Struthio camelus: one gene and its partners. The protein of the gene in region 4 purifies or fractionates together with the protein of the main gene of each other region. This does not show direct contact. Links are inferred from orthologs where the notes say so. Each region holds a gene or a part of one and is shown on either strand. Other genes may lie near its edges. The genes, in order: GIGYF2, MPHOSPH6, EXOSC6 and DIS3L.

What was found.
Region 1: the proteins of DIS3L (region 4) and GIGYF2 purify together in Homo sapiens (affinity purification with mass spectrometry; 3 studies listed by BioGRID and IntAct, with this or other methods). This does not show direct contact. The link is inferred for Struthio camelus from reciprocal best matches to the Homo sapiens genes DIS3L and GIGYF2.
Region 2: the proteins of DIS3L (region 4) and MPHOSPH6 purify together in Homo sapiens (affinity purification with mass spectrometry; 3 studies listed by BioGRID and IntAct, with this or other methods). This does not show direct contact. The link is inferred for Struthio camelus from reciprocal best matches to the Homo sapiens genes DIS3L and MPHOSPH6.
Region 3: the proteins of DIS3L (region 4) and EXOSC6 purify together in Homo sapiens (affinity purification with mass spectrometry; 3 studies listed by BioGRID and IntAct, with this or other methods). This does not show direct contact. The link is inferred for Struthio camelus from reciprocal best matches to the Homo sapiens genes DIS3L and EXOSC6.

The regions. Positions count from the first base shown.
Region 1 is NC_090950.1:5,921,029-5,928,857, reverse strand, and holds the start of GIGYF2 (GRB10-interacting GYF protein 2), read right to left. Parts: upstream 3,026-7,829; 5' UTR 2,895-3,025; intron 2,278-2,894; exon of another isoform or gene 2,192-2,277; intron 1,870-2,191; exon of another isoform or gene 1,843-1,869; intron 1-1,842. UniProt on the Homo sapiens protein: Key component of the 4EHP-GYF2 complex, a multiprotein complex that acts as a repressor of translation initiation. In the 4EHP-GYF2 complex, acts as a factor that bridges EIF4E2 to ZFP36/TTP, linking translation repression with mRNA decay.
Region 2 is NC_090951.1:5,795,586-5,803,047, reverse strand, and holds the start of MPHOSPH6 (M-phase phosphoprotein 6), read right to left. Parts: upstream 3,010-7,462; 5' UTR 2,912-3,009; coding exon 2,861-2,911; intron 1-2,860. UniProt on the Homo sapiens protein: RNA-binding protein that associates with the RNA exosome complex. Involved in the 3'-processing of the 7S pre-RNA to the mature 5.8S rRNA and play a role in recruiting the RNA exosome complex to pre-rRNA; this function may include C1D.
Region 3 is NC_090951.1:26,414,267-26,419,784, reverse strand, and holds EXOSC6 (exosome complex component MTR3), read right to left. Parts: upstream 1,360-5,518; coding exon 526-1,359; downstream 1-525. Other genes in the region: AARS1 (alanine--tRNA ligase, cytoplasmic), read right to left, coding at 1,674-1,859, 2,262-2,375, 4,039-4,125, 4,730-4,849, 5,223-5,336. UniProt on the Homo sapiens protein: Non-catalytic component of the RNA exosome complex which has 3'->5' exoribonuclease activity and participates in a multitude of cellular RNA processing and degradation events.
Region 4 is NC_090953.1:3,230,635-3,237,539, reverse strand, and holds the start of DIS3L (DIS3-like exonuclease 1), read left to right. Parts: upstream 1-3,903; 5' UTR 3,904-4,021; coding exon 4,022-4,151; intron 4,152-4,218; exon of another isoform or gene 4,219-4,275; intron 4,276-6,790; coding exon 6,791-6,905. UniProt on the Homo sapiens protein: Catalytic component of the RNA exosome complex which has 3'->5' exoribonuclease activity and participates in a multitude of cellular RNA processing and degradation events.

The DNA of each region.
Region 1 (7,829 bases), on a different chromosome or scaffold from region 4:
CCCTCTGGAACATGTCACACACCTAAGTTTTCAACTGTCACTCAATGAATTAAAATAAATCAATGAGAAACCACATGAAGAAAGAGATCTCTTTCAACATAAATGTCTTTTCAATAACAAGGAGATGGATTTCTCCCTACCAAAACATTCAATAGATCTCCAGCAAGCTATGTAGGAAGGAGGAAACATATCAGGCCCATGCTTTGAGGTTTATGATCTGAAATGTTGTTGCTCAGTCCCTTACCTCTGCCTATCTCTATTTGTAAATTAAATATAGTTTATCTCATTTCATCTTTGAGCAGGGGCACTAAGAAAAAAGACATAAGCATAGACAAAAAAAGCTAAGGAAAGGAATTTTTAAAAATCAGACTGTAGGAAGATTTAGCTTCATACTTTAAAAAGCAGTAGGAAGGGAGGTTAAAGACTTCAGTGCAAGAATAAGAAAAGCGCATTCGATAGTTGAGCTTACAAGAGCAGACAAAAGTAAGCAGAATCATATTTCATATTCTTGACATTTCCAACACCACCACCAAAGAGCTGGAGGCTGAACCACTTTAAAGAAGGGTGAAGAAGGGAAGGAAAAGATCATGGTCCATGCGCCTAACTCATCTTCATAGATTACTATGAACTGATTTTGCCAACTGTTTTTCCCTTTGTACCTTTAAATAACTACAAAGACTTTTCAGCAGAGGTACATACTAGCAAATAACCTCTTCAGTCAGTCTGTGTGCCTACCCTAATGAGATGCTCTACAAGACTTTGACATCAAGTTTGCTTCAGAAAGGAAGTATCTACACATCCTAAAAGTGCTGCCAACTTTTTCCTCACATTCAGGTTTAAGAAACTCCAGTTTCTGATACGACTCCATTTAGACAACTGACCTTAGGAGACAGCAGGAGAAGAAGAGAAACAATGGCACTTATTCTGAACTCTCCTTAAAAAAAGCTTCCTTGCAGACCCTTTTCAACTCCCCTTTGACACGCCAAATCCTTTCATCAATCAAGAAGTGGATTTATTAGAAAAACTAAGGTAAAATCTCAACTCATTATTTACATGCAGCTTTTTCACTTCTGTCAGTATAGAGATCTCATTTTTCATTTACTGCATGTTTTTAGGAAGGCAAGAGAGCCACTAAGTATCTGAGGATACTTTAAAGTCCCCTTAAGATCAACATCTGTTGAATCTGAGAAGATCTACAAGGGTCAGAGTTTTTACTGAGGTATTAAAGTCTTTCTATGAGCATCCTAAAAAATAGAAAGCAGGTCCTCCTGAAGGCGACAGCTGACATTCAACTCCTGCAGATAAACTTCTACGTTCTTTTTAATATAGTTGGCCATTATACTGAATCTTTGTTTTCAATCACATGTTCAGTGAGGAATTAACATTGACACACATGAACTTGGACATTAATTAACTTGTAGGACTTACGTCTATATGAGGTGGGAGGTGGAGAGGGTGCAGAAGGGGCAAAAGACACTTTAGCATTTTTGTTGACACCACTAGGACTGACTAGGGCATATAGTTTTACCTCAGCATCAGTTAACTGACCAAAGGAGGTCCAGTCAAGTGAACGCCAGTAACACCAATACTGCATGACACTAGAACTAGTATTATCTATTACAACCACCACTGAAAAACAGAGCTCAAGAATACCTGTAACAAGCTCTTGTTAGGGACTACAGCAACCAATTTCATTCATAAAGGGTCCAAATTATCACTCTGTACATCTACCAAACGTTCTATTCAGAAAAAGCATCAACTGAATGTGTTTATTAAGAAGTAACTTAAAAATAAAACGCAACTGCAAGAGTTATGGGAAAAGGAAAGAAAATTCACACGTACTTTCCAGGAACTTGCCCAAGTCAGATCCTGAAGCAAGAAAACAGAATGAGCAGCAAGAAGTTAGACAGAAGAACATAGGCAGAATTCAAAAGTCTGTTCCCCTCCACCCCAAGAAAACAGATACATAAGAATTACAGTAAGAGAGAGTAGTATTATAACAGCAAATCAAAAGCAGCAGGCTGAAGACTACTGGGGAAAATATAGGTTTTATTCCAGAAGTGTCACTTGGCAATGTCTCCTTTTGGCCTAAAACTTGCCCCACTTCAAAGTGCAGTTACACAGAGTTGAAAGAGCGGAGACTGCTTTGTTGACACTGAAACTACTTGTCTTGGATCAATACCAAACGTACATAATCCTGATCGATGTGCTCTTCAGCCTGCCAAGGCCTCTCCAGTCAAACACTGCTGGTCATTGCTGCTCCCAGCACCCTCCTGCCTGCGGGGGAAAGGCTCGAGTGCGCGACCAGCTCCCTCCTTCCTCAGCCCGTACAACCTGACAGAGCCGGGCGTGTTGGGAGCCGGGCACGGAGGCTTCAGCGAGGGCGCACCTGCCCGCGGCACGGCCAAAACACAGGCCCAGCCAGGCGGGGCGGGGAGGGGACGAGCGAGTTCACACGGGTCAGCGCAAGGGGAGGCGGCGCCGGGGCCGCAGCTGCCAGCCCCTCAGGCGCTGAGGCGAGGCGAAGCGACGCGACGCGGCGCGACGCCCGGCCGCTGCCTGACAGGCACCGTCCCTAAGCCGAACCCTAATGCCAAGGGGCCGCACGGACAGTGCGATGCCCGCCCGGCGGCGGGGAGCGCGGCGCCGGGCCCAGCAAGCCCCGAGGAGAGCAGGGGAGACCCAAGAGGGGCCCCGCGCCGCCGGCCCGGCCTGGGGCGGCCTCCCTCCCGCTAGGCCGCAGGGCGCCCCGGGCTGCGGCAGCCCGGGCTCGGGGCGGACAGGGGCCGCCGCCGGCGAGGCCGGGGCTCGGGGTGCGGGCTCGGCTCGGCTCGGTGCGGTCCCGCGGTGGGACGGCGGTGAGGCGGGCGGAGGCAGCGGCGGCGCGGCGGTACCTGCGCTCCCGGACGGAGAGTCCCTCACGGCCACCGCGACTCCTCAGCCCCAACAACACAAGATGGCGGTTGCGCCGCCACGCAACGTCACGTGAGCCCGGGCCCCGCCCCCCGGCCTCCGCCGCAGAGACCCGGATGGAAAACGGGCTTCTCTCCCCCTCCCCCTCCTCCTCCCCCCTCCCTCCTCCTTCCCCTTCCCCCCTCCCCGCCCTCGCGGAAGCACCGCCCACTTGACGACACCCGCAGGGGGCGGCCCCAGGCGCATGCGCGCGCAGCCCCCCCCTCCCGCCCCGGCCCAGGAGGAGCGCGAGCGCCGCCTGCCGCAGGCGGGCGCCAACGGTCGCCGCCGCGCCGCAAAGGCCTGTGGGAAGGAGGCGGCGCCGGGCGCCGCGGCCGTTGGCGCTCCTCGCCCTCACGCCTGGCGGTTTTAGGTTACCTCTGGGTATATTCCGTCCTAGTGGCTGCACTGAAAACCCGCCCGGTGCTGCCCGGCTGTGGGAGCCGACGGTGTGTTAGGCGGGTGCTTTGCCCCCGGGTGTCGGCCCCCGGCCAGGGCAGGCCGGGCCTCAGGCGGCGGCCGCCGCTGGCAGCTGGAGAAAACGCGGTAGGTGGCACAGCAGCTGTTTTGATACTAAACTGCCTGACGGGAACATCGTCAGGAGCTCAGGGCAAGCTTTTCCAGCTGAAAAATACTGTTTTATTTTTAGCCCTGAAACCCCTGTTCGTACACGACGCGGAATAGCCCCGTGTGGTTATTTCAGCCTAAAAAAGCTACTCTTAGCTGTTACGTGCTTTTGGAGAAATAACCATTTTCAGCTGAAACAGTCATGACTTCAGCCACAATCCATTTAGCTTTAGCTCTGCTCTTCTAGGTGAATAAATACTTGTCATTGTGCACTGAATGCTGGCCAAAGATGACGCGACAGTGCACACAAGCGATTCCTCTGGGATAACGGGTTGAAAGTTCATCATTCTGAGCTCTTATTTTTAGCCCAGAGCAACAGAGGACTGCTTCCCTTCAAAATCTTAGAATGAAAATTCTCCTTTAGGAGGCTGGTTTGAAAAAGAAAGCTCCCTAGCAAAGGGCTCTGATAAGCTAGATTTTGATTCTCCTGGTTATTGCCACACAGCTCGAGCCAATATCAATAACGGTGTGAGTAGGGAGAGATGCAGTGGTGCGCATCAAGCTGCCAGTCAGACCTTTCAGCTTCACTCCAGAAGTGGCTGTGCCTTATTATTCTGCTTGTTGAACGTGAGTAGGAGCACTCAAAAATACTCTCATGTCCTCTAAGATAAGCTACATCGGAGATGGGAGAAGTTTAAAACTTACAGAATTTTTTTCCCCCGGTTAGCACAAACATTACATTATTGAGAGAAAAATGTCAAGACGAGAGTGTCTGGAAGATGTCTCATGTGCAGAACTTAGCGTTTTTTGAAAATATCTCAAGGAAATTCAAATTATCCATAACACACTTAAATCATCCATAACACTTTCAAGCAGAACAGTGAGTCATGAACATAGAGGAGTGTATCTGTGCAGTTAAATTCCTCCATGGTTTAATTACATGACTGCAGCTGATGTACTCTAGGTATGAAATCAGCTCACTAGCCAGTCTGACATTTACTAAGGTACTGAAGATATGATGTACTTTAAAGCCATCTCGGATGCCATGCCAGTTCAACTGCACTGTTAAAAACCCAAGGGTAGGGAAATGGAATCGCTAAGGAACCAAAAGAAATCCTTATTGAAGGCATCCTAGTTTGGAAGCAGGAGCCTGCCTGCTTTACTATAGCAGTGGAGCTAGGGACGCAGAGCAGAGCTTTGAATAGGTAAATAATCGTCATAAAGCAGCTCAGAAGGCATGGCGGAGTCCGTCATTTCTGCCTTCCTCACCTCAAGTTTTAGTTACTTTAAGACACAGCTACTGTGTTTGCTGATATACCAAGCATTTTGTCTGAGAACAGTCGCTATCTTCTCAACAGCCTCTGTCTTCCCTGGGAATGGTGAACAGCCCTCATTTGTGAAGTCCCTAAAAAATAATAAAAACAACAGACGAGGCAGGCAGGTGAACACCGGACCGTGTTCTTTAAAGTCAGTCATTTCAATGCGTCTGTCACCCCAGGTGGCTTATGCTGAAAGACAAACTATCACAAATATACTGCTAGTTCTGCAGCACCCAGTTATTTTAAGACGTCCTTCTCACACTGCAAACTAACTTTGAACAGGAGCAGTAAAGCACTCTGGTCACTTCAATCTGCCTTGCCAAGGGATTTATTTGGACACTCCCAAAAGGTTAAAAATCAGTTTGGTCACCTTAATTCTCACAGTTAAAGCCTGAACGCTTATCCAGGAAGAAGAGACGAGATACTCCCAGTCATATTGTTTCCCTTTCCCTGAGCTTTACATGAGCAATTTGAGGCACGTCTTCCTCCCTTCTGGAAAAGACCCAAATCCACAACAGGTTTTTCATCAATCACCTCTCTAGGGTTTCTCTCTTCACACTTCTCCTCCCTATCACAACGCACACGGTCACTCCAAGCATGTCAGTAATGCCAGACTGGTATCGATGTACCAGCAGGTATCGGAAACCAGAATTGGAATTGCCTGGGCCTGCTGGAGCCACCTGTGGTGATATCAAGCATAAAAGTAACATGAAGGAGGACATAGTATCAAAGACTGTAAGATTTTAAGTACAGCTAAATAAGATTGAATAGGTATTGTGGGCCAATAAGTATTGGATTGGAGATTTATCTAGGCAATTTTTTTTTAGCACTTCTGCATAACCTGAAGACGCTATGTTATTTAATCCAATAGTTCCGAGCCAAACAGAAAATTTAAAGAGCGTTTATATTCCAAATGCCAGTTCTTGTAAAACTAACTTCAAAACTTACATTGCTGCACCTTCAAACAAAAAAAAATTTGTACACCCAAAAGCACATACTGTTCACTGCATTAAATACAGACCCCAGCTAACAGCATCTGCTTGAATTGAACAAAACCACTCTAGCAGAAAACTGAACATTGAGAAACCTGATGCCATTGTCCTGCATACGCCAGAGAAGAGGAACCTCACAGAAGAAGCCTGGGCTGAGAAAAAAAATCCAATTAGTTCAGCAGATAGACTGAGCACCCTTTGGGAAAAGGACTAATGAGCAAAGTCCACCCTTTGGGAGAAGGGCTAAAGAGGAAAGTCTTGACTACAGACATGACAAGTTTCCAAGGCCTACTGATAATCTCCTTGGTGGGCAACTCCAGCAGCCCTTTTTCCTTATTTGTGAATTCTCCCTGTCCCTGCTGACCCACCTACGTTGGGATTGCATGGCAAAAGAAGGATCCTTACCTTCCCGGCTCTGCAGTCCAAGCTACCTCAGGGCCAGACATGCTACTCATTTCCTTATTGAAACTTGTCAGCTGGAGTTGACTCAAGTCTTAAAATGGTCACTTTGGAAGTCCTTTTTCCACCCTCCCCTCCTGCTCCCCAGGGCTCCTCCCCCAACCACATGTTACCTGCTTCCCTTTGTAGAACTGCTATGCCAAGGCAGCAGCATTTGCTGTGGTGGGGTAGGAGGGGGAAAAGGAACATTGACAGCTGCAAAAAGGAAGTGGAGAGCAAGGAGCCTTCCTTCACTCTGATTTTTACATGACCCCAGAGACCTGAGGGCTCACAGATGTGCAGCAAATGCATGAACTGCTCACAGAGCAGTGCTAGATTGAAGATCTGTACTGGATACAGCATTTCCATTTCATCACTGGATCACACCTGCAATGAAGCCTAATTAGGCCTCCTCCTTAGCCCTCCACACTGGCCGTGCCAGCAAAGCTTAGCAGATCAGCACAAGTAGAATAAGATTCTTGGAAACGCTTGCAGATTGTGATGCATTTATTTTTCTCCTATGAAGGCAGGATGATGAAACACAAAGAGAAATGTAGTTAGACCAACCTACTCAGGCTCCCAGATGAGACACTACTAGAGGCTGAGGTGCAGTATCTATTTCAAGATAAGGGAAGGCTGACAATGTTCAGATATCAACATTTTGCAGTGGACAGTGTTTCAAATATTTGCACAGCCACATCCCTTTCAGAAGAACTGCAAACATTAGGGCTTTTTACAGCAGAACTATTGTATAGCAGTAGAGGGCATATCGAGAAGGGGCTGAACACTTCTCTGCTTATCCAAGTCAAGCCACCAAACTTTGGGGCTCAAACAGAGGCATGTTCAGGAGGAAGGACCCAAAATCAACCACATGCAAGACTGGAGATAACAAGGCTTTATTTGTACATTTCAGCAACAGGAGAAATAATTGAAGATGCAGTTATCTGCTTTGTTGTAAAGTATAAAAACATTTAATTATAAATATTTAGCTAAAAAAGCGTGATTTTATAAAATATAATCTGTGAAGATATATACACAGTTTAATTGTTTAGCAATTCTTTCACCTGACATTAAAGAGTAGAGGTTTTTCTATTTATTATTCCATGCTCACAGCTTAGTGCTCACAGTTTAAGAAGCAGAACAGACAAGTGAAAAGACGACTAGTGAGTTTTGTTTTGGAAGGAGGAAAAAAAAGAAATACACACACAAACCAGGGCAATAACAGAGCAAATAACTTGAGCAAATCCATGTTTAGAGAGAGGTCTCACCAAGGGAACATTGTTTCCCTTGGTCATGACCTACAGAGTATATCCAGACAAGATTCAGGCATTTTAACATCTATGGGCAAGCTTTCTGTGTTTGTGAAAGAAAATGGCTAAGCTTAGTGCAAGCCTTCTAAATTCAGTCCAGCTACATGTGCTAATCTGTCTGCTTGTCCCTTCTGGAGCAGGGATTGATCAGTATGCTGGGCTAGTTTTATCTAGCATGGCTCTAATGAAATCAAAGTCACCTTTATGATTCAGGCTATGAGCAGATTTCCAAAGATAAAAATGCAATGTGC
Region 2 (7,462 bases), on a different chromosome or scaffold from region 4:
TCCTTCACAGCTGGGAGTAGGAGAGGGCATCTCTCACAGCCCATGACAGACTGCTGAGAGAGCAAACCTACACATCTGAGATACGTGAAACACCCCTTCTATTTCCATTTGCATCAGCTCAAGTGCCTGAGCTGACTGCCAATTTAAGCATCAACAATGTTAACCCATTTCACCAAACACGCTAGAGAAAGGAGAACTCTTCACAGCTTTACAGTAATAACCCTTATATTCTCACATCCCTAGGAGCTGGGACCTCCCTTTGAGTCTACAGAAAGCCTTTGAATAACCTTATCTGTCTGGGCTACACATTTATAGCAACACAATTCCCAGCAAGAGGCTAGTCTATCAGTAAATTTTATACACATACCTGTACAAAAATTGCTATGTGGCCATCAAAGCATACCTGTATAACGGCATGTGCACCGCTGCACAGGAATCTCATATCAACTAATTCTACCCCTCTCATTTAAAGCAGCACCACTCCTGTGTTTAGATAAGCCTGCAGGCTGACTGTTAACAAGCCAGTGGGGCACATCTGTACCTTGAGTGGTAGCAGAGGCTCTGACATACTTTTGGTCCCAGCTAGAATAGCCTTGGCTTGGGGGTAAGGCCCAGGAAGGCATCCCTAAACGCCTCTCACACACAGCTCCCGTGTCACTGAGCTTATTAAAAAAAGAAAAAATATATACCCCCCCCCCTTTCAGACTTTACAAAATGCCCACAGCAACATGAAACAAAAAATCCTGAAGTAAAAGCCAATACAGTGCCAGTGTCTCCTTTCCCATTTATATTTCTATTTGCATCCACGTGTACAAGTTAATGAAAGAAAAATTGATTTTTGTTTTCTGAGTCGGCCCAAAACATGTCAAAGCTTTCCAATTAAAATTGCAGTATCTACTTGAGGAAAATATGGGAATCTATCATGTGGAAAACCATACCGCTCATGGAAATTGGTTAGCCAGTCAGAAGTCTCAACAGGAGAAATTTTGTTACACGCACCCAATTAAATAATCATTTTACACTACATTTTAAAGATTATGTTCCTACAGATTACCACAGGGAATAACTAGATAAAAAAATGTGATCATATTTATCTACAATGTAAACACGCATGAATGAATTAAAAGATACCAATTGTGGTAGACACAGAACACGCAAGTCATTAGCTGAGTGTTTCCTGGATCAGTTTACCCGAATAATGGAACCTGGATCAAACGGTGCAAGAATCAGAAGCGTGAGCCACGCTGTGACACCACGAGGCAAGTCGTGGAGTCCGGCAATTAATGCAAGGGGCTTCAACAGCACTGCCACTGACCACACCACCTTCTGGGCCCAGTTCACTGGGAACCTGCCCTTAGAATGGTGACAATACCTGCAGAGGCAACTCTTACACGATTAATTAAAATACTGGTAAACAAGGAGATCTGTAGAAGGAAAATGCTAAATAAAAATGGGTTATGTATGGCCTTTGCAAAGCCTATTCATCTCTTCAAAGCGGACCTACTGCTCATACTAAACCAGCAATTGTCATGGCGCTGCACTCGCATGCCTGTTCTCCACAGCCTTTCAAGAGAGGCATCTGAAAACTGGCTGCCAAAATCTCCCGAGGCTTAATAAACTGGCAAAACCAGTAGCAGGAATTTCACTTAAAAAGAAAGTATCAAATGCAATCCAGGCAAAAGGAGTCCTCCTCTGCCACGCGCTGCTGGCTAACTAAGTGCATCATCTACTCGCTTTGAAAAATAAGGAACGTTATGTCTGGTTCCCTCTGCGCACCAATTTTAGTCTTTCGCTAGCAGAATCTGTTAATATTCCACCATCCCTCTGTAGCAGAGTCCATTTTACATGGAAGATAAACTCCTTTCCGCTGGCATCTTGCGAAAAATGGGAACTATGCTCTCAAATATACATGTGGGGAAAAAAAACACGCTTAGGTAAAACACCACAATCAAGAAGCCACAAGGGCTCAGCCACTTACAAATGTTTAATGAACTTAAAAAAAAAACAAAAAAACCCCAATTAATAGCAACTTGTACTGGTTGTTTTCCAGAAAAAGAGGGCCATCAATCACAGCGGGATGCACTCTGCTGAATTAGGGGCTGCGTTACACGATGTGAACCAGAAGCCACGGGCCGGCAAGCGGAGACTCGCTTCACATCAGCCTTGACACGAGGGTCACAACTCCAAGGGTAACGGGTAGCTCACTATTTTATTTTACTGATGGCCTTGGCGTTCATGGGTTGGCAGAAGGGAAGGGAAAGGTGGTTAAAACCCCACGTTCAATGCAAACTGACCGAAAAAAAAAAAAAAACCAGAACACACACACACACACACACACACAACCAAGCACAGAAGTATCAAGGGTAAAAGCTCCCTGAAATAAGGCAAGCAGTATTAACATAATAGAAAGGGAAGGGAAGAAGTCTAATCGTTTTTATTCACGACAAACGACCTGCTCGCAGAGAAACCGGAGGGCGAGAAGAGACGCTCCAGCGTTTTTCGGGGCTGCCCTCTTGCCGGAGGCAGATCTCCGCTGCCATCGGGAAGCTCCTCTCCTGCCCCAACCCCCCGAGCCCTCTCACCAGGGTTTCAAACACACGGGGGGCTGCGGGGGGGGGGGGGGCAGCATGGCCGGAGGGGATCTTTTTTAAAAATTTTGGGGGGATTTTTTTTTTTGGGGGGGGGGGGTGGAAATACACAAAGCGGGGGCAGCCCGGCCTAGCGGCAGCCGCTGATCCCTCCGGCCGCGGAGGGCGGCCCCGGCTCCGGTCCCGACCGGCTCTCAGCCGCCGCCGCCGGGGCCCAGCGCAACCCCCGCGCCCACCCGCCCCGTCCCCTCCGAGGGCCGCCGCCGCCTCACCTTCATGCGCAGCAGGTTCTTGGACAGCTTGGCCTTCACCTCGCCCGCCATGGCGGCCGCCGGGCCCGCGCCGCCAGCAGGCCGCGGCCGATCCCCGCCCTCGCCTAGCGCCGCCGCCGCCCTCGCAGGGGGGGAGGAGGAGGAGGAGGAGGAGGAGGAGGGCGGCGCCGCGGCTCCTCCCGCTCGGGGGCGGCTCCGGCGGCCTGGGGAACCGCCGCCCTGCTCTTGCTGAGGGGGCCGGCCGGAGCCTGAGCCCCTCTGCTTTTACTTAATAATCCCGAGGAAATAAGGTTGCTGCGTGGGTTGGGGGGGGGGGAGCGAGAGGCGAACGGGGCGGGAAGGGGCAGCGCCCCGCGGGCAGATGGCCGCAGCTGGGACTTGACCCTCCTTCCCGACGGCCTGCGAGGGGCTGGGGCCGCCTTCCCTAACCGCGCTCGACGCCCCGCGTACCCGGCCAACGGCCCGCTCCTGGGAAGGCCCCGTCTTCCCCAGCTGGTGCGAAAATAAGATTAAATAAAAGCGTCCTGGATCCTGGATTTCTTATTAGCGCTGCGTAGTGTAGAGTTTTGTCCATAATTTTCTGGTGTTTATAGGAAGGAAGGAGGGAGATTTTATATAAAGTTTGCTCATATTGGCGTTGAGAGACTGCGTGACCTGTTTAGGTTTCGTTTTTTAAAAGTAAGCGCTTTTACTTGAGGAAAAAAAAAAAAAGGCAAAATAGTCATGTGATTAAAACTGGGAAGCAACTGAATTGAGTTGTTATAAAAAACTTCAAATGATTGATTCATCCTGAATCACGATTTTGGAATCCGAGCTTGGCAGTTCTCCCTTTAGGCTACCAGGCTGGGCTCTGGACGCTCACGAAGAAATCCTTACGCCAAATTTCCTTTGGCATAATTTCAGTTGACTCCCAATTTTCGGGTGACTTCCAAAACACAAGCAGGTACCACAATTTCCATATACCTTCTGATAAATCAGGTTCCCGAGGCCTCTCTGGATGCTCAGTACATATAAACCAGGCAATAAACTAAGAAGAGTGAGGGTACACCGTGCAAAAGTGTAACGAACTGGGGTGCACAAAAAAACGAACTAGGAAAAAAAAATGCCATACATCCAAAATGTAGGTCAAAGTGAGCTTGAAGAACATATGTAAAGATTTATATTCTAATAGAGTTCACAAAAATGTATAACGAAGGGCAAAACCTGCCTGCGGTGGGAAAGGAGAAGGAAGAATTATCAAAATCCAGGCATCTTTATTACACAGTTAAGCTCCATAGGTTAAAATGATTGAAACACAGAGCCACAATCACTTTTAGGACAGTGATAAAACTGCATTTAAGTAAGTAATTCTCATATAGGTGGAGCACCCTCATTTCCAGGTCTGAAAATGAATTGAAAGTGCTTAAGTGTTTCTGAAATTCAAAGCCCCAGCAAGGAAGTCTCTTTGTGAGCGTGGCCCATAACTCCCACTTCATTTAGCCCCATCAGGTTTATACCTTCTTTTTTCACTTTCTCTTTAACATTCATCAGCTCTTTCCAACAAAAGAAAGCTGGGCAGTTGTTCTGAGTTTTACAAATACAAATATGCATCGAAGAATGAGTATATTTGTCTTTGTGAAAGACCGGAATAAACCAATATGGGAGAGCTATTAATTAATATAATGGCATAGTACATCCATTATCTTGCTATTTTGGGTGTTATTTTCAATTTGCCGTGTTGATCGTTGCTGTGCTTTTGAGCCCTGCGTTTAATTGCATGGCCTTCAGTGTCACTCAGGTCTTTTTTTCTGAACAGTTTCAGTTAATTTACAGTCCAGGAACGTACTTCAAGTGATTCCTTCTAAATACACTGCTGTGCATCTGTCAACACTTGTCCAGCTTTTGTGCTGCTGCTTTGCGGGGCTTTGTTTGAGGTCCTTCGTCACAACTTCCTTCCTGTTCTGCTGGTGTAGTGACTCATCTCATCCATTTTTGCAACCCATTTCTCCAGCAAACTTCTCTTACAACTTTGTTTTGGATGCCACCTCTTCACGTGTTGGTTGCCTGGTACCTTTGATGTTAAGGAGCGTGCTAGCACCAACCCTTTAATTTTTGGGAGCTGAGTCTAATAATTCACAATGTGTTCCTTGGCGAGTAGGAGCTCTGGGTCCGCGGCCACAGCCTGGATGCACCCCGTGACCTGATGGTGTCTCGGTGCAGGACCGCAGCCTTGCACGGAGACACGTGGCTTACGTCTGTCCTGTACGTTTGGACATCAGCTAACACAGCATGCCTGCCTCAGCATGTCCAAACCTGAAGGCAGAAGCGTTTGGCAGTAAATGTAGTACAGGCGCTGTGATGTTTATTTAGAGAAGTGGAGATCGTAAAAAGGCTGCCACAGGATTTGATGTATTTCAGCTGTAAAAAAGTCGGAAGGAAATTTTTGGATTACATCTCCCATCGCTTGAAGTGGATGGGGAGGTTATAGATAACAATCAGCTGTCTCACGGACTGGATTATACTGTCTGCTAAATCTGAAGACATGCCACTGATGAGAGCAGAAATCTCTATGATTTACTGGTTGAGGGGGGGGGGGTAGGTGAGAGTAGACTCTAGCCCTGAAAATATTCCTGCTTCTGAGATGGAGCAGAGTGAGGAGGCAAGTAGGGAAAGATGCTCGGTTTAGAGAAGACACCAGGGTCATCTGAAATGACAATCAGACACCTCTCGCAGCTCTGACAGCTCTATGGCAACTCTGCTTTCAGCCTGAAAATTCAGTTATTTTTCAAAACAAAAATGCTCAGGAAAATAACTCAAGGGAAAGATGCTCCAACTCATCAAAGACTGTATGTTAAACAAACAGATAAAAGATTTTTCTTCCTAGGAAATGCAGTCCCATCTCCCCCCAGTAATTACAGGAGTGGAATCAAAGTTGTCATTAACATTATTCAAACAGTTATCCTTTTTAGAACAATACAAATTACAGTTGTGTACTAGTTTCATGCCAATGGGCTCTAATCTGAGGTAACTCATAGGTTCCTTTTCCAGTAACCTTTCATTTCTTCATATTCTTGTGGTATTGTGATTCCAGGACAAAACAGGTCTCTCAAACCCTCTATCAATCGTCTAGATTTCTTATGAACGGTCTTTGAATATGAAGCACCATTTTACACGTCTCAAAATATTTGAAGCCATTTTTTCCCTGCAAAAATCAAAATCCTTATAGCATGACAGATGAGTCATTCATTTGTGTCGAACTCCTCTACTATATTTTAAGTGAGGCTATTATGTGTTGTTCTCTGTGAATGAGCAAGAGCAAACGAGAGGCAGAGCTACTGGAGATTTGTTTGCAAATCTGAAAGCATTGTGTGAGGTGCGGCGTGCTGTATCCAGCAGGATGGAATCAGAAATGCACTCCGTTTTGTACTCCGTGCTTTGGGCAGAAATAGTGTGAAATTCTCCAAGCGGTAGACACCCATGTTTTTGAAGTGCAGGACTGAGTTTTTATCTCTGTTGTTCCCATGAAGTTCTGAGCCACTAATGCATACAGCATATCGACAGCTCCGAAGGTCCTGGGTGACCAGGGATTTGTTACAATATTCATTAGCCTTTGATGCATGCATGTATAACCTGGCGGCCCGGGTACGTTGCTCAGTCTGCTTTGTACCTAATCCGCAGAGGATATGGGCTTGTTACAGCTCTCAGCCTCAGAGTAGCACGTCAGCTCAGAGCGTACTGACTCATCCTTCTAGTTTTTGAAGTCCCCTTTTTAAAATTTGGCATCGGTTTAGGTTACAGCATTGACATATGCAGAGTATTTTACATCCTCGGTGAACCCCAAGTTCTCCCTTGCTTGGGGAACTGTATGCAAAGCCTACAGCAGAAGCTAAGCTCATATAATTTGGGTACCACAGACCCACGTTGCTCATGTTTTCTCTTTAATAGCCTTGGGCAGTATCACAATTTATGCAGTGTGAAAAGGCATGACTTAAAACTGTACTTGCAGGAAAATGGAGTTACAAAACCTCCAGAACAGCAAAGAAATGTTTTTATCTGAAGAAAGTGCCTGTTGTCAGTTTGGGAAAAGACAATTCATTTTAAGTGCTTTTGACTGTCCCGATGGCAGGGTGACCTTTGTGTGAATAAATACAGTAATTCCTTTTTGATTACAAAAAGCAGCAGCTTCATAATGGTAGCTCCCTATCTTCTACCATCACCTAAAGTGGCGTGGATAACAGATACCAGTCTGTTATTCTGTTGGCAAGCCTAAAAAGTTGATCCTATGTTGCAGTGATTTGATATATCCCAATGCTAGGAGTCAGAGCAGGGAGAATGACTAAGGCACGGTCTAGAGTGCCCTTCTCCGGGCTTTCCTTTAAAAATCTAGAGGCTTTTAACTTTTTGGATTTGATGGAATCACAATTAAAAGAGAATAGGAAAATATTACCTTCCATTTGTTAGCCATAAAAATGCAATGCAGCAGCGCTGGTGGTAGTTTGCTATTTCCCAGGTCAATAAATGGTTCCCCTGACTTTAATAAACATTGATGCTGCAGGCTTGTTCTACAGTGACTGAATCTTTTTATAGTTTCAACTAGTCACATTGCATGAAAGGTTGAAGGTT
Region 3 (5,518 bases), on a different chromosome or scaffold from region 4:
TGGGGGAATCCAGTGGTTCAGGCAGCTGATCTTGCTAGTGTAGGCAGTCCCTTGGGTGGCCCAGGTGGGCTCCAGCAGTGTAGAGGGTGGCACAGGCAGGCTCTGGCAGCTGAGGCAGGGTAGGGGCTGCTTTGGGGGGCTCAGGCTGTGTGGGGGCCACTGAAGAAATGTAGGAGGCTCAGGTGGTATGGATGCCACTCGGGGGGGGGGGGGGGGCTTGAGCAATATGGATGGGCTGCTCAGGCATGACCTGGGGACTGGGAGGTCTCCAGTGATGCACGGGGTTCCTCAGGAAGGCTCTGGAGGTCTCCGGCAGTGTAGGCGGCTGCTCAGGTGGGCTCCAGTGGCCTCAGGCAGTTTTGGGAGCTGCTCTAGAGAGGTCGCTGGCAGTGCAGGAGACTGCTGGGGCAGGCTCTGGGGGTCTCTGGCAGTGCACGGGTACAAATCCGGAGGGCTCCAGCAGTACAGGGGCCACTCAGCTGGACTTCGGGGTCTCCAGCAGTGCAGGGGGCAGTTCAGGCAGGCTCAGGCAGTCGATGGGGTGGCCCGGCGTCGGGCAGCGCGCAGGAGGCTCTGCCGCAGCACGGGGTAGAGGCGGTGGCAGCCATCGAGGCCGAGGCGCAGGGCCTGGGCCCAGCTGTCGGGGGGCCCGCCTTGCCCACCGCCCAGCAGCCCCGACACCTGGTTGAGGGAGGGCAGCAGGGCCACGGTGAGGCAGGCGGCAGCGCGGCGCTCCTCGGGCTCGCTGGGCTGCAGCAGCCAGCCGGCGGCGGCGCCGGGCGGCCGGCACAGGGCGCAGCCCACCGCCAGGTCGTACATCTCCACGCCGGCGTCGGCGAGCGCCAGCGCGGCGGCGCTGACGGCGGCGGCCAGGGCGGAGCCGCCGTCCTGCAGCAGCAGCGCGCTGACGGCCAGGCGCGCCCGGGGGTAGCGCGCCAGCCGCACCGCCGGCTCCAGCGCCTCGCGCAGCGCCGCCGCCGCCTCGCGCTCCGCCTCGCGCGCCGCCGCCGCCCGCGGCCCGCGGCCCGCGAAGGGCGCGCGCCGGAACTCGCACACCAGCCGCCCCCCCGCTGCCGCCGCGCCGCCGCCGCCCGGCTCCGCCGCCGCCTCGCGCGGGCCCCAGGCGGCGCACAGCACCTTGGTGCCGGAGCCCAGCTCCACGTAGGCCGAGCCCTCCGCCTGGCTCAGCAGCCCCGCGCGGGCGAACAGCGGCCGCAAGGCGCACGGGTCCCGCCCCCCCTCCTCCTCCTCCTCGTCCGCCGCCGCCGCCGCCCCCCCCGGCCCGGCGGCCGCCGCCGCCCACACCTCCGGCGGCTGCGACTCCTCAGGGCCGCGCAGGCGGCGGTGATCCAGCGGCATCCTCCGGCCGTCCGCAGCAACGAGGCAGGCAACGAGGGAGGGAGGGAGGGAGGGAGGGGCGGAGGGAGGGAGGAGCCAGCCCGCCCCGCAAGGAGAGCCAGCGGCGCGCAGGGCACGGGCCCTTTATTAGTACTCAGCCATTGCTCAGCTGAAACTGCCCGCGCCGGGCAGGGCGAGAGGCGCCGCGCTCCCGCCCGCGCCTACCGCGCGGCCGCCGGAGCACCCCGACCCGCTCTCGCTGGGCCCCGCCGCCCCCGGGCTAGCAGCAGACGCTGGCCTCTGGCTGCTCCCCCAGGGCCAGCACACGGCGCCCTTCAGTTCTTCAGCTCCCCCAAGTGGAGCTTGGCAAAGTCCGTGGCCAGTTTCAGAGCCTGCTCCAGGCAGCCAACGTTCTTGCCTGTAGCCTGTGCAGAGACGTCTTTACCGCCGCCTTTACCATCCATCAACGCAGACACCTCCTGCACCCACTGACTGGCCTTCAGGCCCTTCTTCACTGTCTCCTGCACAGAGGGGGAAAAAGAAAAAAAAGAGGAGCTCAAACCTCAGAAGAGAGGCTAAGAGCACGGTGGGATAGGACAAACCTCTTTCCTTTGCAGCTCCCAGGGGTGGGGAGAAGCTATGCCAGCAGTCCAGTGGCAAACATCCTGCCTCGGTGTTTGCATGAGCACACTGAATGCTGGCTCTTCCTGCTTCTTACCAAAAAGATTCAATACCTCACCCCTCCTCTGACCCTGCAGCATGATAATAATGCAAAGGCGAGAGACCACAGCTGCTGCAAACCTGCATCTTTGGCCTTGCAATGTTAGATGCCGCTCCTCCAGCTGGTGGGTACCCCAAGGCTCAGAGAAAGGCACGCACACACACACGCACACACACACACACATGCGCACACTCTGTGTTACCTGGGGTACTTGACACAGGCAGGTGATTCTGCCGGCTTCGTTATCTACAGCAAAAAGCATGGTGGCAGTCTGGGGGGACTGAGTCTTGAAGAGCTTCAGAGATTCATTCAGCGCCTGTGGGACAACAGTCACGTCAGCACATCTTCCACCTAGCTTGCAAACAGCCCTGTTCCAGTCCCCACACAGCACTATGCAGCCATGACGAGGATGGTCTGCAGGTCTCTTCAGAGACCAGAGTACAACCCACCAGCCAGTAGGGAATCCGGACTTGTATTAAAACAGCTAGCAGCACCCTGTGGCGCTCGTTCTCCCAAGCACAGGGCCTCTTCATGTCCCTGGCTGTGGTGAAGTCGTGGCAGAGACAACCTGCTTTTCTGGCTGCAGGCAGCTGCTGAAAGCTGCACACAGCTACCTGACTGTGCCCCCTCACAGCTGCAGGGAGAGGGGACTGAGGATATGCTTTTATTTCCCTACGTTCAGCTATCTGGAGACTTGCAAAATTCATGGCTCTGCACCCACAAAGTGAATGAACCTGTGGTTTGGCTATAAGTGTAACAGACAGAGCGGAATATGCTCTGCTGTATTCAAGGGAGGGGGCGGCTGTTCTGTGGAGAGCAACAAGTCAGGAGGACTTGCCTGGAACGTGAAGAAGCTACAGGGGTATCGGACAATGCAGCCACACTGGAGAGACTAGGGAGACTGCCAGGCATCCTATTATTTCTAAGACAGTCATCCTTTGCTCTTGGGGACAGCACGGTACAGCACAGAGCTCCTGGAGCAGGCTCTCTAGTGAGCAAAGCGTTGCTGCAGCAGTTGGCTACTAAACACATGGCTGCTCCCCTAGGCTGCCTGCACTGCCATCCCCCAGGATTCACCCATCTGCCAGAGATGGGCTCACAGCCGCACGCTCCGTGGAGCATTCCCATCACCAGGGAGAATGCCGCATTGGCACCCTCTGTGGCAACAACCCTGCAAACAAAGCAACAGTTTCAACTCCCACACAGCTGTGAGCAGGAGCGCAGGCACCATGGAGATGGGGACAGCCAAAGAGAGTGGGTGGGAATCTATAAGCAGGATCAGCTCAGAGACTGCTGAAGCAGAAATTTAAATGGGACATTAAAACTTGATGGTTCCAACATCACAACAACATCGGCCCCCGCCACCTGTCACTTGCTAGGCTAAGCAGTGCAGCGCACACAAGAGAGCATTTATTCACAACAGCAACTGCTAGGAAAGAAACTTAACTTCTGTGTGGAGGAGGAGGAGGGACAGAGCAGTTTCATCCCTGACCAAAGAAGAACTTGAACCTTACTGCAGCAGATGCAGTGCCCAGGAGCTGGGGAACAGCTCTGCAGTATTGTCCTATCCATACACTTAGTCCAGGACACTGTGTTTCCAGAGCTGATTTGCAAGAGTCACAGGCAATACAACTTCTGTGGATCAGCAGACCTGCTTTTAAGAGTTCTTGCAGCCTGCATTTCATGACTCCTTTGAGATCCTTCTTATCTGGGACCCAGTGCAATTTCTGCATGGCTCCCCATCTTCCACCAGGTCTAGAGATTCAGCATATAGCCAAGACCCCCTCCAACATGTTTGTTAACCCAGGAGGTAGGACGTAGAGATCATCACAGTGGTCCTTCCCCCTCTTCACTAGCACTGCTGGCAGGTTGCAAGCTGGCTCTGTAACACAGCACTGTCTTCTCAAGCGAACAGGGACTATCTAGCTACTTCTTAAGCACAACCAGAGTTGTCGGGGAGAGACCAGACCTTCCCATACCTTTGCTGAGGCTCCGTTTTCCATTTCCATGATGACCAGTGGCTGGTTAGGGTGACTCTCAATGACTTGCTTTGTCTTCTCCAGCACCTGAGAACAGCAGCATTCAGAAGCTGAAGCATGCACATTGCATACGGACACAAAGAAGACCTGGGTAAAACCTCTCTGCAGCTACAGAGGCCCCCCAAGGTTCTCCCAACACACCCATGGCCCAGCCTGGAGCAGCCCCACACTGCAGAGCCAAAAGCAAAATGTGCTGGCAGGTGCATGTCTGATCTGCAAAGTAGCAATACTGCTGTGAGTGGTGGCCCCTCCAGGAAAATCCAATGAGATTCAGAAAGAACCCCATATCGCATGCCACTCAGGCACAGGGGCTCCACCATGAGGGCAGGAGCCTCCCATCTCCCAGGAGGTGCCGCAGGCCCTTCATGCTGGGGACCAGCAGCAGAGGCAGCTGTGCTAAGGGCAGTGGAAGCTCTTTACTACAGAGCGCCCCCATCATTTAACACAGTTGCAGAGGGTGAGCCAACCTCCATGCCAGGGAGGCAAGAGCCATAGTGCAGCCACCAGGTCTTGAGGAGAGAGCAGGGCATCCCCATTACTCAGCTCCCTTCTGTGCTGGGCCAAAGGGAAGCTCCCAAGGGAGCCCCCACAGGTTCTCCCAAACTGCCTTTGATTCCTGCATAGGGCTCACTCTTTTCTGGATGTTGGCTTTGCTTGCCCGGTCCAAGTCATCCATAACCTTCTTCAGTGCTTTAACAGCCTCTCTCAGCTCATCTTTCTGCCACTGTGGAATAATGGCAGTGGCCAGTGTCTGCAAAACAGGAAAGGGTTAGGTGACCACAGCACAAGGCAGGGGCTGCTGCACCACTCTCATGAGCCCCAAGCGCCTTGACTGGTAGAGCCCAGTAAGCTACCCCTCCCAATACCCAATGACTTCAGGAATGAGGTGCTGGCTGCAGCATCCACAGGACGCAACGCTTCTGCTTTGCTTGTACTCTACAGGACAAGACTACAGTTCGCAGGCAACTACACCCATGGGGATAATTGAGACCAGGTGACTCCAGACACTATCCAGGGAGATACAGGAGCAGGAAACTGAACTTGGGCCTTGTTAACATCACCCACTGCTGGCAATCAAGGACCCCACTCACTCTAGGAAAGTAGATTAGTGCCCTCATCCTCACCTCACTGAGATCTGCAATCTCCTTCTGTACATCCTTGTTGGGAGCTGTCTGGACCTTTACTTTGGCGTCCAAGTCAGACAGCAATTTCTTGAGGCTGTCTACTTTCCTGAGGGCCTAGTAGAATAAAATTCAAGTTATGTTTTGCGGGGAGAGTTACTGAGCTGAGCTCTGGCTATAAGAAGGCATCAGGAATGCTGCAGCCCCAGGCATGGGGGCTCCTATCCATTTCCCCGCTCAATGGGGAGTGCAGTGCCAGGGGCCTGAATAAATTCTGACACATGTGACTCCCAGAGGAC
Region 4 (6,905 bases):
AAATATTGGCATCCAGAGCATAATTGCGTGAGAACTGTACATTATACTTTTTATGATAGATTAGTGCAAGGAGCTGCATATTAATCCTGAGACCATTCTAGATATGGGCACTATTTTTACAGTATTTGGGTTTTACTGAACCAGCAATACAGGAGAAGGAACCTCCAAGAGAAAAAATAGCATTTATTCAGTTTTGTATGAGTTAAGAAGCAGATGCTGAACTTCAAAAACTGCTTTAAGAATGCTTCAAAATTTCTTTAAGAATGGAAGAATCAACTTTAAAGATATCCTGTAAGACAATCGAATCTTCCATCCTCTACCCTAGCGATAGCATTCTTGGGAAAAATATGGCCTCTTTCAAATGAAAATACAAGATTTCTATTGATAACTTGGCTGTGTGGATACCAGACTTAAATACTCTGTCTCCTGTTTTGTGTTACTTTCTTAAATCTTTTTTCTCAGAAAGCCTGTAATAGGGCCTTATAGTTTATGTAATCCCGTCTTGTGGTGGTCTGCTGCCGACTTGTTTATAGGCACAGTAGCAAACCAGAATATAACTTCCTATATACTTTTCTGTGCTTACTGACAGTCTTAAGCACAATTTTAGCTGATGAAGCCCAATTTAGCTATGCAGTCCACCTCCCAACACTGGGGAAGGGAGCAGCTAGTGGCCTCTAATAACAGGCTGTACAAAACTCAGGAAGAAGTTCCCTTGCAAGAATAAAACTCAGCAGTTGCTTTGCCAGGACAGAAGTAAGGTATATCATAAAGTATATCTGTGTGGTGCCAACCGACACATACTGGTAAGCAGGTGAGCTAGTATTACATTAAATGGTCAACAATGTATTACACCTATTGCTGAATACCTGCTTTTCGTTTTATCTTGCGCATGTTCCACTTCCACATATATATGTCTGACAACAACCTACGTGATATTTTACTTCTACATCAGTTGCTTAGGTTAATTGTTTCCAGCTATTTGTCAGATGAGTCAGGCTTCAAGTCATGAGAAATCTGAGCTAGAAGCTGATACTCCCCAATGACCTGAAAGTTTTCTTTGCCAAAATACTGAGCAACTTCTATCAAAAGGTACTATATTGAAATTCTGCATTGCACCTCCTGACCTTTTTATAAGTAGGGAGACTTCCCGAGAGGCTCATGCTTCCCAGCATAGGCAACAACAAACATGTAACTGAACTTTCTAGAGAGAGTTCTCTGACTCATTTAAAACACAAGCTTTTCTAGTGCTTACTAGCGTTATCCAAGGCAGTAACTCTGAAGTAAGGAGAATACTCTATGAAAATAAAGAAATATTTGTACTATTTTATTTTCAACTGTTCTACCACATTTTGTTTCTTGGACACTTAGAGAAGGAAAAACTTCAGGAGGAAATTTATGTCTCACTGCTTTGCAGCTGTGCTGCACTCCACTTTCATTTTTCAACATGCAATGAGATCTTACAATATTGCATTTTTAAACATTTTAGCAGCTTTAAAAAAAAAAAAAACAATTAAGGATGATCTTGTTATCCTGGAAGTTTTGGCTCTCCCTCTACCCTGCAGCTTCACCCTGCAGAAACTTCTTGCCACGTATAAAACCAATTCCCAGATGATCTATCTCAAATCTCATTAGGCCAAACTCAATTGTTAGATGAAGTGTAAGTAGCTCCTTTTGGCTTTACTGACTCAACTCTAAACTGACTTTTACTTGTAAGAGAATGCTCTTGGGTGGTGGTGGGGGGAAATGGTGAGAATTTTAAAAACTGTCCATTTTAGAAATAAGCATGCAGCTACTCAGTAGTATCAGCATTAAATGAACTTAGCCCAAAGGTCTGGCATTTCTCTCTGTGAAACAGTGAACAAATTAGAGCACTGCTCTCAGTCACTTTCATTTAATTAGCCTTCATTTTATTACAGTCACTGAAGGACACTGAGTAGGCATGCAGGCCTGCGTTCTTCACTGTGTTACAGCAATCAGCAGCTACAGTGTTTCAAACTGAATTCAGTGACTTTTCTCTCAAATGTTATATTTTTCATTCCTTTTCTGTCACTACCGTTTATTTCATCTTTGTTCATACTGTAGAAGAGCTCTGTCATTTTGGTCTCCACCCCCCCTCCTCTCCTGCTTACATAATATGTCTAAAATCATCCTGACTAAGAAAAACAAGTCTACATTTTGGTCGTCTCTCACCAAGTTGTACTACCTCCTCCTCCTCATATGTTTGCGGACTTGGCTTCTGAAAATCAATTTTCTACAGATAGATGGCACTTCCATTTCCTGCCACCAACTGATTACTTAAAAATATTAGTCACTGAAGATACGCGTTTTATAAAATATGTGAAAAATAAGCAATAGAACAAACAGGAACATAGAGTGAAACACTGCCTTGGTTCTTTCCCACTGTCCCTTGGTTCTTTCTTCTCATAAGGACAAATACTAGATAGCTTACACCATGTATGTATTTCAAGTGAGGTTATGATAGATGCAATTCTGAGAAAGTATTACTGCTTTTTTATATTTAGAATAATCATCGCCAATAGGTTACACCAACATCATTGCAGCCTCATATGCAGAGCGCTGACTCAGACTCAGAAACAATGAGTTGTATTCATCACCCTGCCACTGCTTTTCCGTTTGATCATGGGCAAGCACTTCATCTTTCAGGGCCTCAGTGTTCCCATTTGTAAAATATAAAGGGCAATAATGGTCTCTACAGTAAAATTATTTGACTTGGGGCTTTTGTGCACTCCTCACTCACCCTAGCCACATTCCCCATCTTAGCACCCCTGGTGCTGGGAGGTGACCAAGCGAAACCAGATGATCTGAGAAACGGATCTGGGGCTGTGCCTGGAATAGGCTATGAAAGACCATGACGGTTCACATGAGCATTTATGCAGGACTACAGTTTAGATACAGCAAGACAGCCTCTTCTTATTTTTCCTAGACACAGAAACAGAAAAATTCACCATGTATCTTCACCACCACCACCCTCAGGCCACACAATCCACCCTAACAGAGGGCAAATTCTTCCCATTTGCCTTCCAAGGGACATCCCAGCCACTTTTTCAGTCTTTCCTCCACAGGCCCAAACCCTCTCAGTTTTACCTCACCGAGAGGAGAGCTATCCTCCCTGCTCACCCAGGCGCACAACCTGGGGCTCCAACGAACCCTGGTCCTCGCCAGGCTCCCCCTCAGCGCTGCTCCTAGCTCCGCCTCGAGGCTCGTCACCTCCCCTCAGCCCCCAGCTTGCCGCTGGCCCCTCACAGCTGCCCCGCTGCCCTCGGCTCGCTCCCGCCTCTCCCCTCAGAGCCGCCCCGCTGCCCTCGGCTCGCTCCCGCCTCTCCCCTCAGAGCCGCCCCGATGCCCTCGGCTCGCTCCCGCCTCTCCCCTCAGCGTCGCCTCTGCCCTCACCACGACCCCGCTGCCTCGGCTCGCTCCCGCCTCTCCCCTCAGCACCACCCCGCTGCCCTCGGCTCGCTCCCGCCTCTCCCCTCAGAGCCGCCCCGATGCCCTCGGCTCGCTCCCGCCTCTCCCCTCAGCGTCGCCTCTGCCCTCACCACGACCCCGCTGCCTCGGCTCGCTCCCGCCTCTCCCCTCAGAGCCGCCCCGCTGCCCTCGGCTCGCTCCCGCCTCTCCCCTCAGAGCCGCCCCGCTGCCCTCGGCTCGCTCCCGCCTCTCCCCTCAGAGCCGCCCCGCTGCCCTCGGCTCGCTCCCGCCTCTCCCCTCAGAGCCGCCCCGCTGCCCTCGGCTCGCTCCCGCCTCTCCCCTCAGAGCCGCCCCGCTGCCCTCGGCTCGTTCCCGCCTCTCCCGTCAGCACCGCCCCGTTCCCTCAGCCCGCTCCCACCTCGCCCCCGCCAGCTCCGCCGCCCCGCTCGCTCTCCTGCCCGCCCTCCTGCTCCCCGCCCCTCGCTCAGGGGGAGGCCCTGCCTCTCACGGTCGCACCGCCCCCCGCGCCATGCGCAGCGGCCGCGGAGCGCCGGGCCTGGCCTAGCGGCGGCGGCCGCCGCTTCCCGCCGCCGCGATGCAACGCACGGAGAAAGTGCTGCAGCTGCGGGGCCAGCAGGGCCGCTCGGTGCGCGTCGTGCGGGAGCACTACGTGCGCCCCGACGTGCCGTGCCGCAGCGCGCTGTGCCGCGCCGCCTGCCCGCGCGGTGAGGGGGCTGCGGGGGGGAGCGGCCGCCGGGGCTGCGCGGGGCGGAGGCGGCGGGAGGAGGTGGCAGGGCGGCCGGGAGCCGTTTGCCTCGGCGTGGAAAGCGGCCGGGGCCGGGCGCGGAGGTTGGTGCGTGCGCTGAAGCGATCCCCGGGCCGGGCGGGCCGGCGGCGCGGCCTGACAGGACCCGGCGGGAGAGGGCGCGGAGAAGCGGAGCAAGGGGCAGCGAGTAACGGGCGTGAGAAGAGCAGGACGAGAGAGTGGAGGACGTGTTGTAGTGAGGCAGGGGCGAGGGAGGAGAGGAGAGGGGGTGAGGCGCGGGGTTCGGGAGGCGGGTGGCGCCGGCCGGCAGAGAACGGGAGCGCTCATGGCACATCTCGCCCCGCCGCCGCCCCAGGGCGGCCTGTCCACGGTGCTGAGCACCGCCACATAGCGGCGGGGGAAATCAGGCAGCGCCAAGTCAGGGGTATAGCGAAAATACACCCTCAGAGCAAAATTCGCACGAAAATGAGGTGCTAAGAAAAAAGGAGAGCTGACAAGGGAAGTTGATTGTTGCAGGATTTGGCTGTAAACAGTTATTTTACAGACGCTGGTAAAACTCTAAAGGACCATGCAAGTTTAACGGGGGGAACACTCATGTTTTTGTGCTTCCTTTTTTAAAGCTCTTTCAAAAATGGATTAATTCCTGCAGGGCGTTGAGTTCCTGTGTAGCTTGAACTAAATTCTCTACGTATTTGTTGAGTATTCTTACAACGGGGCCAAGTAGGTGTCATTGAAACTTGTGTAATTCTGCGTCAGCAGTTATGTTGGTTCAATAATTAAGTTTAATTGTCCCTGCTATACCTGGGCATTTCAGACATGGGAAGACTGCCCGCTTCTGTGATTTCTAGGTTTCATGTTGTTTTTACATAGTGCAGCGCTCTTATGTACGTTATAGATCACCGTGTGATTGTTCGTTGATGTTTCTGGGTTTTTTTGTTGTTAAATAACACAATTTATTTGGTGCAAGAAAATAAATGACAACCAACACAACGTATAACACGTTTAAATCAACCAAATTATCTGCTGGCCTAAAAGAAAAGGCTAAGAATTTTAACTGTTTTTCTTCTGAACTGTAGTTGGCATAGATGTTGTCACCTCTGTTTTGTTTTTAGATGCCTGTTGTGATGGAGGGCAGCAGGTAGAGTAGTATATTACTTCTATCTAAGATGTCAGGACAAGGTTATTGTTACTGCTCTGTAATGGGTCTGGGAGCTGTTGAGATGTGTCATGTATTAATTCCTTTCCTTATGAATTCCCTAAGGATAAGTTACAGGCAAATACCAGACCAAATTCTTGCCTCTCTCTCCATGCCTAACTTCTGGACTTAAATGTAAATTGTGCCGTAATCAGTGTCAGAGTATGTCCCTTTGTAATTATTCTAGGTAACTCAGAAGTATGGTGAACATATGTTTTCACTCCTGAGTCTATATACTGTGCCGAGCAAACATATTTCACGCACTGTGGGAGCCTGCTTGCATAAATCACATCCACAGATATTTTTAATGGCATGCTATGCCTACTTAAAGTTATTCTGATCTAGATGTGTATGTTAGGCAAGGATAGCTTAATGTGAGCAGATTACATACATCTTCAAGTGACATTTCGCTCCTAATCCTCTTCTGAATTAGTAATAAAAATTAACTTTGTTATATGCGTCCTGCCATCGTCCCTTATATACCTTCAGTGTGAGATACAGCCGCATGATGCTGTGCAGAATTGTGCCCACTGGATTCTCACTTCTAGGGATCAGAGTCAATAGACAGACTGACTTGTGTCAGCTTCTAAGAAATATATGAAAATAACCTGATTTGTCAGGGTCTATAAAATTTGAATGTAATCTGCCAGCACTATTTTAAGTCCAGCAGTTCAGTGTTTGTAATAACACAAGGAATAAATAGACATGGAGAGAAAATGCAGTGGAGATCCCAAGGAAAAAAAAAGTTTACTGAGTAATCTCTGAAATATCAAAAGCAATTAATTAATTTTGGGGTATGTTTTAAAAGTTCTTATGTGATGGGTTTGTTTTGAGATTTTGATGGGATATGATTAAGGGATGGAGTCTCTTTAGAGAGAATTAACTATGATGGTAATAATTAGATTTGAGAACCTCTTCTCTTTATAATAGCATTGCTTTTCTCCATGTGTACCCTCACGTATAACCTTTTATGTACAGATACAGAAAAGAGCCTGCTGTAAGTGGAGAGTGTTGAATGGTGAAGATAATTGCACAAAAAGATTTGCTGTGGCAGATGTGGTCTCTCTTTTTATGTGGAAGTAGAGGAAACTGGACTGTTACCTGAACTTTTCAAGTGACATCCTTTTTGTAATGAAACCAGATTTTTTTTCACTCATTTAGATAGTATTTACTCAAAATTTTTTGCTCAGTGGATAATAGAAGGGCTCAGTCACAAATTGTAGGAATTGTACCGTAGCAGACGTACCATTTAATTGAACCGTGAAAATTCTGTTCCTCAGAAGAATAGATATATATACCTTTTGAAGATCCACAACTAGGATTGCCTCGCATTTGACAGTATTTTTAAAAAAACAATATTGCAATTGAAAGTTTAAACCTTTACACTTTGAATTACATTTTAGATGGCAAATTGTTGTCAGATGATGTGACTCATTATGTTGTCCCTGACTGGAAGGTGGTTCAAGATTACCTTGAGATTCTTGAGTTTCCAGAGCTGAAAGGTATTATTTTCATGCA